Linked DNA regions of Rattus norvegicus. The protein of the gene in region 1 purifies or fractionates together with the protein of each later gene. This does not show direct contact. Links are inferred from orthologs where the notes say so. Each region holds a gene or a part of one and is shown on either strand. Other genes may lie near its edges. The genes, in order: Zfyve27 and Vapa.

Region 1 (4,489 bases):
TAGTTTGAAAAAGACTTATAGGATATAAAAACCACAAAAAATACAGTGCTGGATAGGAACCTGACAGGAGATGCAAAACAAGTGTCCGTGACATCCTTGGAAAAAATTGGAAAGTGGGAAATGACCAGAGAAAGATATCAAAGAATTACTTTTAACTAAGTATAACATGACTTTGATGATATCAAATGCCTTTATTAAAAAACATAAACTGGGGCTGGAGAGATGGCTCAGTGGTTAAGAGCACTGACTGCTCTTCCAGAGGTCCTGAGTTCAATTCCCAGTAACCACATGGTGGTTCATGACCATCTGTAATGAGATCTGATGCCCTCTTCTGATGTGTCTGAAGACAGCTACAGTGTATCCATATATATAAAATAAGTAAATACATTAAAAAAAATAAACTGAAGTAATCAGAAGTGCAAAGCCATTTATTTGCAATTAAAGCTATCTTTCTGTTCTGTTCTTTTTTGGGGAGAAGGGGGTGTTAAATAGCTCAGGCTGGCCCCAAACTTGCTACGGAGTGAAAGATGATTTTTGAACATCTGATCCTCCTGTCTCTACCTCCTAAATTCTGGGATTATAGGCATATTCTCAGATAAAATACTTTTTAACATAAATAAAGCCAGGAGATGAAGAGGTGATTCATTGGTTAAGACCCAGGTTCAGTTCCCAGCACCCCCACGGCAGGTCAAACCATATGTAACTCCAGTTCCAGGTGATCTGACAACCTCTCCTGGTCTCTGAGGACACCAAACAAACACATGGTACACAGAAATATATACAGATAATAAAGCCATACACGTAAAATCTAAAAACGTAGATAAATCACTTAAGGAAAATAATTTTTAATGTAAAAAACACAGGCTAGGCATGGTGGTGCCCTTAATCACAGCACAGCAGACAGTGGCAGTCAGACCTCTGTGTCTTCCAGGACAGCCAGGGATGCACAATGAGACCATGTTTCAGAAAACAAACAAACACCAAACATTTTTTTAAGCAAGTTGGTCCTGGTACTTGTGAGTCTGAAACAGAACATTTGTTGTAAGTCTTCAAGCAGCCTGAACTACGAGTTTCAGACTACCGTCAACAAAAGGAAAAGTTAAGGAGCCTAGAAGAAAATTACAGAGGATAAAATGAAGCAAAATAGGAAAAAATTTGAGAACCATAATCCTAAATAACAAATAAAAATGGCATCTAGTTTTTTCAAAGGTATTTGTAGTTGAGGTTTGTTTAAAATTATAACTTGACGGTGAGATAGCTTAGCCAGTAGAGTGCTTGCTGCCAAGCCTGAGTTTGATCCCTAGAATGCACCATGGAAGGAGAACCAACTCCCAAAAGCTGCCCTCTGACCTGCACGCAATGCCACATGCATACAAAATAATAAAACCAGGATTTTAAGATTAATTATGCTAATATTAGGAGAGAAGGGGGTGGGGGGACGGACCAGAGTCTGCTCTAAGCTATACCAGGCCAATGTCCAAGGCTTTCTGACAGTACCTAAGAGGAGCTTATCCAACCACAGAGTCCTGAGGAAGACCAAGTGGTTCCCAGATCCCACCTTTCCTGCACAGAGCTAGAACACAACTAGCTCTGAATAAGTCTAGAGGTCAGACAACTAGTCTCACCAGAACTAGTCATCACTGGAGCAGAAAGGACAGCCCGACTACTGCCAACTGGCCAGAACTGCTAAAGACCAGGGAGACAAGAGAGCCCAAAGGAAGAACAACCCCTGAAATCTGTACCTTAGCAAGTATCGAACACCGTCACCTGCATCCTTCAGGGGTTCCAGGTAGATCTCCAGCCTCTTGTAGGACAGAACCAGGTTGAAAAGATCAAACGCTGTTGACTTGGTAGGGGCAGGTGAACACTCAGAGAGAACCTCAGGCATCACGCTGGGGCTCGCCTCTGGTCCACTCAGGTCCCGATCCGAAGACTGCATTCTGTAATCGTAATTCCCCACACTCACAATGCATGTCCAGTCTTCAAACACATTTCCCCTTGCATCAACCATGTGAGGTAAGCACCAATACCCGTTTCACACGGAAAGAAACTTTGTTCCTTCTGAAGAACAGCAGAGTGAAGGGGATACCTTCGATATAAAGCCTGTTCTTCACGAGCCCCTCCAACGCTCTTTTCCCTCACAGACTTTTCAAGAGCATACAAGCCATTAATTGTTGAAGGGAGGTAATTGGTAATCCCAAGAGAAAAGATGTCCTGTGATATCTTTCTCCTCTCTTTTCCCCTACTCATCCTTCAGGTGTCAGGGTTAGGGGACCATCTTGCTCTGGGACGTCTTTATGAACGCGCTAGTGTACACTGGGTGACCCTTACCAGGGCTCCCAAAGGTTCATGAATTTTTCCTAACAACACTCTTGTCACGCTCTTAACCCTGGCTCCTTTCATCACTTGGAAAGGAGTCCACTGGACCCCAAACTCTCGATAGAACGTGCTAGGAAGAAAGCAAACCCGGGCTAGCGCGAGACAGGCTCAGCAGGTCAATGCGGACAGAGGCCTCGACCACCATCACCTCCCAGGCGGCGCAAGGCAGGCCACGCCTAAGATCGCTGTGCCAGCAGGTGGCGGTCCCCTCCCGACGGGAGCACCAGGCTCTGTAAATAAATACAGTGGGGCTGGGGCGTGATGGTCGTCACCTACCCGGACACTGTCCCAGGAATGGGAGGGGCAGGGGCGCCCAAGGGGACAGAAGGGCCACCAAGCCCGGGAGCGGCCCCTCAGGCCCGCCCCACCCCACGCCGCGCCACCTCCCACAGACGCTCCGAAATCGCAAGTCCACCAGAGAACAGTCTGCCCCACCACCGCCGTCGCTTCCGGGACGCGACTCACTCTGCGGTGGCGCGCCCGTGACGTCACCTCGCCCGTCCCGCCTTGGGTCGGGCCTCCGAGTTTAGCCCCTCCCACCCAAGCGCAGGTGATCGAGCTCGTCGATACTGCGCCTGCGCACTTTTCCCCTCTGTGGCTAATTTCTGGTTAACTCCGTCCCTGCCATACAAGAGATGACTCACTTTTAATGACCCGGAAACCTAGGACCTAATTCCTGGGAGCCAGCCTAGCTCCGGAACATTACAGCAAGGACAGTTACAGAGCCTAGCGTGGTGACGCACTTCTTGTAACCACAGCCTTTGAGTTTCTGAGGCTGGAGGCTAGTTCAAGGCCAGCCTTGGCTATGGGAGCTCCTGGCTCAAAAACAAAAACAAAAACAAAAAAGGGTAGGGGTGGGGGTGGAGAAGGATAAAAAAGAAAGAAAATCTGGATAAAAACTGGATAAAAATCTGGATAAAAAAGAGGCTAGGGAAGGCAGAAAACACATCTTGTATGTCAGGTGCCTAGCAGAGACAGACCGGTGGTTCCTTGGTTCCTAACTCTTCTTCACATCTTGTGACCCAGCTGGTGTCCCTTAAAACACACTTCCCATGGGTTTGCATTAACCAACAGCCAGGCAGTACAGTAAGCTTTGTGTTCACATTATCTCATCTGTTCCTCCTTCAATAACCAACCCTGTTGGGGTTATCACCATTTCACGGATGAGGAATTGTAGTCATGGTAAGTAACTTCTTTAATGTCACAGCACATAAACCTCTTGGAACTGGGATTTGAGCCAAATATATCACTGGATGCCAGTAACCCCAGCCATACCACCGCCCACATGAGTCTGCAACTACTGGCTTCATCTATCCTGCTGTTTGTTCTCTTTCAAGTGCCTCAGCCAACTGAACCCCGTTTTTACCTGCAACGGCCCTGGACTCCTGCCAACTCCTCAAATTGCTTGTCACACCTGCCTGCCCGGCTTCTTGCTTCCATCCAAAGGCAAGCAAACCAACTGTCTTAGCAGGACTCAGGTGTGAGCAGCCAGGGAAGGCCGCTCAACCGACAATAACCACTCCTCTGAACCACCCCAAAGCTTCCCTGACATCCGTCCAGCATCTCTTTTTCAGAGAAACAGGCACACCTGCTCTGCCAGTCAGGACTCAGCTGTACGGGGAATCTCAACTCTTCCCACTTCCTTAAGGCTGGTCATTGTCCCACAGGCTCTGAAATCTTTACTCTTTTTTTTTTTTTTTAATTTTTTAAGATTTATTTATTTGTAAGTACATTGTAGCTGTCTTCAGACCAGAAGAGGGCATCAGATCTCACTACAGATGGTTGTGAGCCACCATGTGGTTGCTGGGATTTGAACTCAGGACCTCTGGAAGAGCAGTCAGTGCTCTTAACCACTGAGCCATCTCTCCAGCCCTGAAATCTTTGCTCTTAGTAACGCTTCTTCTCCTAGAGACAAGATCCACAGGGAAAAAAAATTTTAAAGACTTATTTATTATAGATGAGTACACTGTAGCTGCCTTCAGACATGCCAGAAGAGGGCATCAGATCCCATTACAGATGGTTGTGAGCCACCATGTGGTTGCTGGGATTTGAACTCAGGACCTCTGGAAGAGCAGTCAGTGCTCTTAACTGATGAGCCATCTCTCCAGCC
Region 2 (4,267 bases), on another chromosome or scaffold:
TTTAGTCTATCAAATATTCAGCCAGGAATAATTTTTATGTAGGAATGGACACGCAAACCTATCTCGTTTGTATACAAGCTAGCTTTTGTCTTAAATGTGTAAGTTTTTTCATCTTTTTTTCTTTCAAACTTCATTTTTAGGTTAGGATACAAAGTAAGCATTCAAAGAAGGAAAACAAACTTTTTTTTGTGATCAATGTTTTATACCACAATTTTATATCCTATATACCCAGGGTGGCATAAAAATTTCTCAGGTGACGGGACGGAGAGTTGAAAAAGTTTAATTAGCTGTATTCTAGACTGCCCATTTTCGACATTTACTTTCCAGACAGTCTAGGATGCCTTTCCGTGGCAGAAGCATCAATACGTGCTTTGTTTCGCACGGAGCTTCCTAGAGATTTAAATTCAAGCAGTACCATAGGACACAATAAAGGTTTATTTTTACAGCACATCCATTTGTTTTGTTTGCTCTTCCCGTCCCTGGATACCCTGGCAATGAGCTGAATATCTGTCAGCAATTTGCTTGGCAATTTTTCTCATTTGGTATAGGCTCTCCTAAGTGATGCAGATAAAATTCGTCCCTAGCACGGCACGAGAACCAGGCAAACAGATTTGGAATGAGCCACACTGTAGATACAGCACGTGAATTCCACGCCGTAGGAGCAGACATTTGGTTTCTACCCTTGATTATTTGTGCCTGGCCTAGATTTCCCCTGGAACCCGTTTGCTTTTGCGCGAGGTGTGTTTCCCTTTGCTGGGCAGGAGGGAGATCCGGGAGGCAGCTTTGGAACGGCAGGGTTAGAACAGAGCGCGCGTCCGCAGAGGGCGGAAGGAATCCCGGGCAGACCAGACGGACACGCCCTGCCGCTTTCCCAAAGGGCCGTCTCTCCTGGGATGCCTGGCTCCCAGGCAGCCTGCAAAAACCCTTTTCTTTTTCCAATGCAGACGAGACAACCTCGGCGAGCCAAAAGCAGAGTCAGCGGCCCCACCCACTCGCCTCCAACGGACCCGGGTTGCCTTCCCGGTTCCCAGCAGCCCCCGCGGAGACGCCGCCCGCACGGGGCATGCTGGGAGTCGAGGTACCCGGCACTTCTTGACTGTCTTCCGTTCGGAATTCCACTTGGAACGCTGTGAGGTAGCATCGTAGTCGGCGCTACAGCCCCGCATTCGCAGCTCCAGGGCGCCAAGAACGACGCCCCTCGCCCGGCGCCGCGCACCCCGTCTCCCACAAACAGCCCTACTACGCCCCCTGCACGCTCTACAGAGATTGACAGCAGCGCGGCGCAGGGAGCTGCGGCCAAGTCGGAGGTGCGCAGGCGCACTAGCTCAGCGCCGAGCCCAGTTAGGCCCGGAGGGCGGGGCCAACACGAGGGCTCTGGGCCGCGGGGGCGCGCACGGAGACACGTAAGGCCGTCACGTGGGGAGCCGAGGATCGCAGTGCGCGTGGCCGCGGCGACTGGTGTGGGGTTGAGTCAGTTGTGACACCCGGAGCTGCTGACCCGACAGGCAGCCCTCGGGACCCGCGGCCCGGCAGCAGGCGCGGAGCTTCGGGAATCGTGAGCCTGGCCCCGTCCTAGAGCTCCGCGGAGCCGGCGCCGCCACCGTCCCCCGCCCCCGCCAGCGAACCGCCGCCGCGGGCGCGCCCCCGCTCTGCGCTGTCTCCTATGGCGTCCGCCTCCGGGGCCATGGCGAAGCACGAGCAGATCCTGGTCCTCGACCCTCCTTCAGACCTCAAATTCAAAGGTAGGCTGGCTGGGACGCGCCCGAGCGGGGCTGGGGCCGGCGGGCGGCGGCGGGGTGGACGGGCTGCGCTCCCCTCCCCCACGCCCGGACCGAACGTCGGAGCCGCGGCTCCGCTGCGTCCCTCCGCTCGGCGCCTCGGCGTCCGCCGCTGCCGGGCCGGGCTGCGGAGGGGAGGGGAGGGAGCCGGACGGACGCCGCGGAGGGCTCTGCCCGGAGCCGCCGCCATCTTGCGGCCCACGGGGGCGCCGCGGGAGCCCGCCCGCGCCTTGCCCGCCCGCCCGCATGGCGTCCTTGCCCCAGGGCGGCCGCGGCGCGGTCCAGGCTGTGCGAGCCGGAGGCTGGGAGCAAGAGCTCCGGGGTCTGCGGGCGCCAGCGGGCGACGTTCCGCGCCTTTGGGTAGGCACGGCCCGCGGGCGAGGCGCTCAAGACCGCGGGCTTCGCCCGGAGTCTTCCCTGTCAGGTGCCGGACTCTGTCAAGCCGGGAGACCCAGCAGTGTCTGGCTGGGACTGACCCCGAGTGTTGGCACGGCCCCAAGCGCGCGGCAGAAAGCTGTGCGTCAGCTGGGGCATGCATGGTCGTAGGTTAATGGGAGTGGGTCCCTTGGGTCACGTCGACTCGTCCTTAGGTACGGAGGACCCAGCCCTTGTGCTCCTAGTCCTTGAGTTCACACTGTCTTTTTACTGAAGACGACTCAGGGTCTGTGACCCTCTTACGTTTGCGGTTTCCCAGCATACCCGGAGAAAGCTGATAAGGTGCCACACAGCTCTGGAACTGTTGACTTTGGAGCACTGACTGTGATAGACAATCACTGGTTTGGTGATCCTTGTTCAGATCCGAGGCCGTTTGCCTTCTCAGTGTGTAGGAAACGAAAAGTTATACAGAACAGTTTACTGCATTTTAAGGAGCTAAAAAGAACACGTGCTTCCTATCTTTAAATGAAAAGTGCCCCCCTCCCCCTTTGGAAAGTTAATACCTTGCGTTTTAATTTCAGCAACTGGTGAAAACAATTTCCCTTAAGCGCATATCGATTCCAGTAGGAAAAGAAAAAGTAAACCCATTATAGTAGTGTAAAAGTGAGTCCACATGAAAATAGCTGAATTGTCCTTGTAGGAACAATTTAAAATAGTTCCAGATACTTAAGACTTTTATATTTTAAATAGTTTAGGACTTAAACATGTGGTATTCTGCTAGTAGCATGCCCTGCAGGCGTTTCAGTACATTCACAAGTTCCTCCGTACTAGACAAGAACTTGATTGTGATTTTAAGGCAGTTTTAATATGCTTGGAATTGGGTCGTGAACCACACTTATAATCCCGGCATTTTGGAAGTTCAGGAACCACCCAAAGTTTGAAATAAACCTGGACTACATGTGAGACACTTGACAGTGTCTCACCCTCCGGTATTTCGAGTGTATTTTGCTGCAGCAAATTTCTGGTTGCTTGATTTAAGTTTTTTTGGAGGGGAGTTGGGCGGAGTTTGCTGAGAAGTCCTCAGAGTATTTGTACTGTAGTAGCCATCATTAGTGGGAGCGATTTAATATAAATCTTGACGATATTCTGTGTGGTTTGCTTTCCCCCTTTTGACAGTGTAGAGCAAATTTTCCTTACTGCATAGCCATGTGTGAAAGGTATTTTATGAGGCAGGTTTTAAAAACCACCAGAAATTGTGCTGTATTCATGTAGATCACTCATTTTTGATATTAAATAATTACAACCGTGTTTATGCAACAGGCTCTGTGTTACCAAAAATCCCAATGCTGGTGGAAAAGGCATGTAAATGATACCGGGGCAGGAGCACGTCTGAAAGAAGCTCTTTTCTGTAGGAAACTCAAGGAAAAGGCTCTTGAAGTTGCCTGGGGAAAGTCATGCAAAGGGAGTGGTTGAGTAAATCGGAGTGAGATGAGATGCATAGACTCCAGTCGGTCAGACTTGTGGAAAGGTGGGAGAGATGGATATGATAGGGAGAGGTGCAGAGGGTTGAAGTGAGGTTTGCTGCTTTTCTCCTTAGTGTTACTTTGTCAGCCAGAGGTAACTTGGTACAGTGGAAGCCTCTGTATTTCAATGCACAGCTTTACACTAAGTAGGGTGATTTAGAATCCACTGTGCATCTTTTGGTTGACCATATCAAAAATTATTTAACTGATCTTTACATGTCTTTCATTTAAGTATAGGTTGTTTATACATTTCATTTTGCAAAATTACTTGATTGTGTGCAAGGTTTATTTGAATTATTTGGATTCAACAGTGGTTTCTTCAGGAGTGACTCAGCCATTCTGAGATTGACAGTTTTTCTTTAATATGAATAATGACTTGATAAGTGTTATAACTTTGTAGTTTACTTCTCATAACTAGTAATATATATATAAGTCTCTTGATTGTAGAATAAATTCTAAAGCAGACCTTTTAGAGCATAAAAAGATTCATTAAGAAAATTTTTGGTTGCTTAAATTCTAGCAATACTTTAACCAATAATTTAGATTTGAAATTGGATATTTCACAGAAAAAACTTTTTTGTTCCTAACATT

The links.
Region 2: the proteins of Zfyve27 (region 1) and Vapa purify together in Homo sapiens (co-immunoprecipitation; 3 studies listed by BioGRID and IntAct, counting the BioPlex papers as one, with this or other methods). This does not show direct contact. The link is inferred for Rattus norvegicus from reciprocal best matches to the Homo sapiens genes ZFYVE27 and VAPA.

What each region holds. Positions count from the first base shown.
Region 1 is NC_086019.1:250,927,482-250,931,970, reverse strand, and holds the start of Zfyve27 (protrudin), read right to left. Parts: upstream 2,841-4,489; 5' UTR 2,656-2,840; intron 1,941-2,655; 5' UTR 1,940-1,940; coding exon 1,743-1,939; intron 1-1,742. UniProt on the Homo sapiens protein: Key regulator of RAB11-dependent vesicular trafficking during neurite extension through polarized membrane transport. Promotes axonal elongation and contributes to the establishment of neuronal cell polarity.
Region 2 is NC_086027.1:112,651,897-112,656,163, reverse strand, and holds the start of Vapa (vesicle-associated membrane protein-associated protein A), read left to right. Parts: upstream 1-1,432; 5' UTR 1,433-1,663; coding exon 1,664-1,742; intron 1,743-1,941; exon of another isoform or gene 1,942-2,138; intron 2,139-4,267. UniProt on the Homo sapiens protein: Endoplasmic reticulum (ER)-anchored protein that mediates the formation of contact sites between the ER and endosomes via interaction with FFAT motif-containing proteins such as STARD3 or WDR44.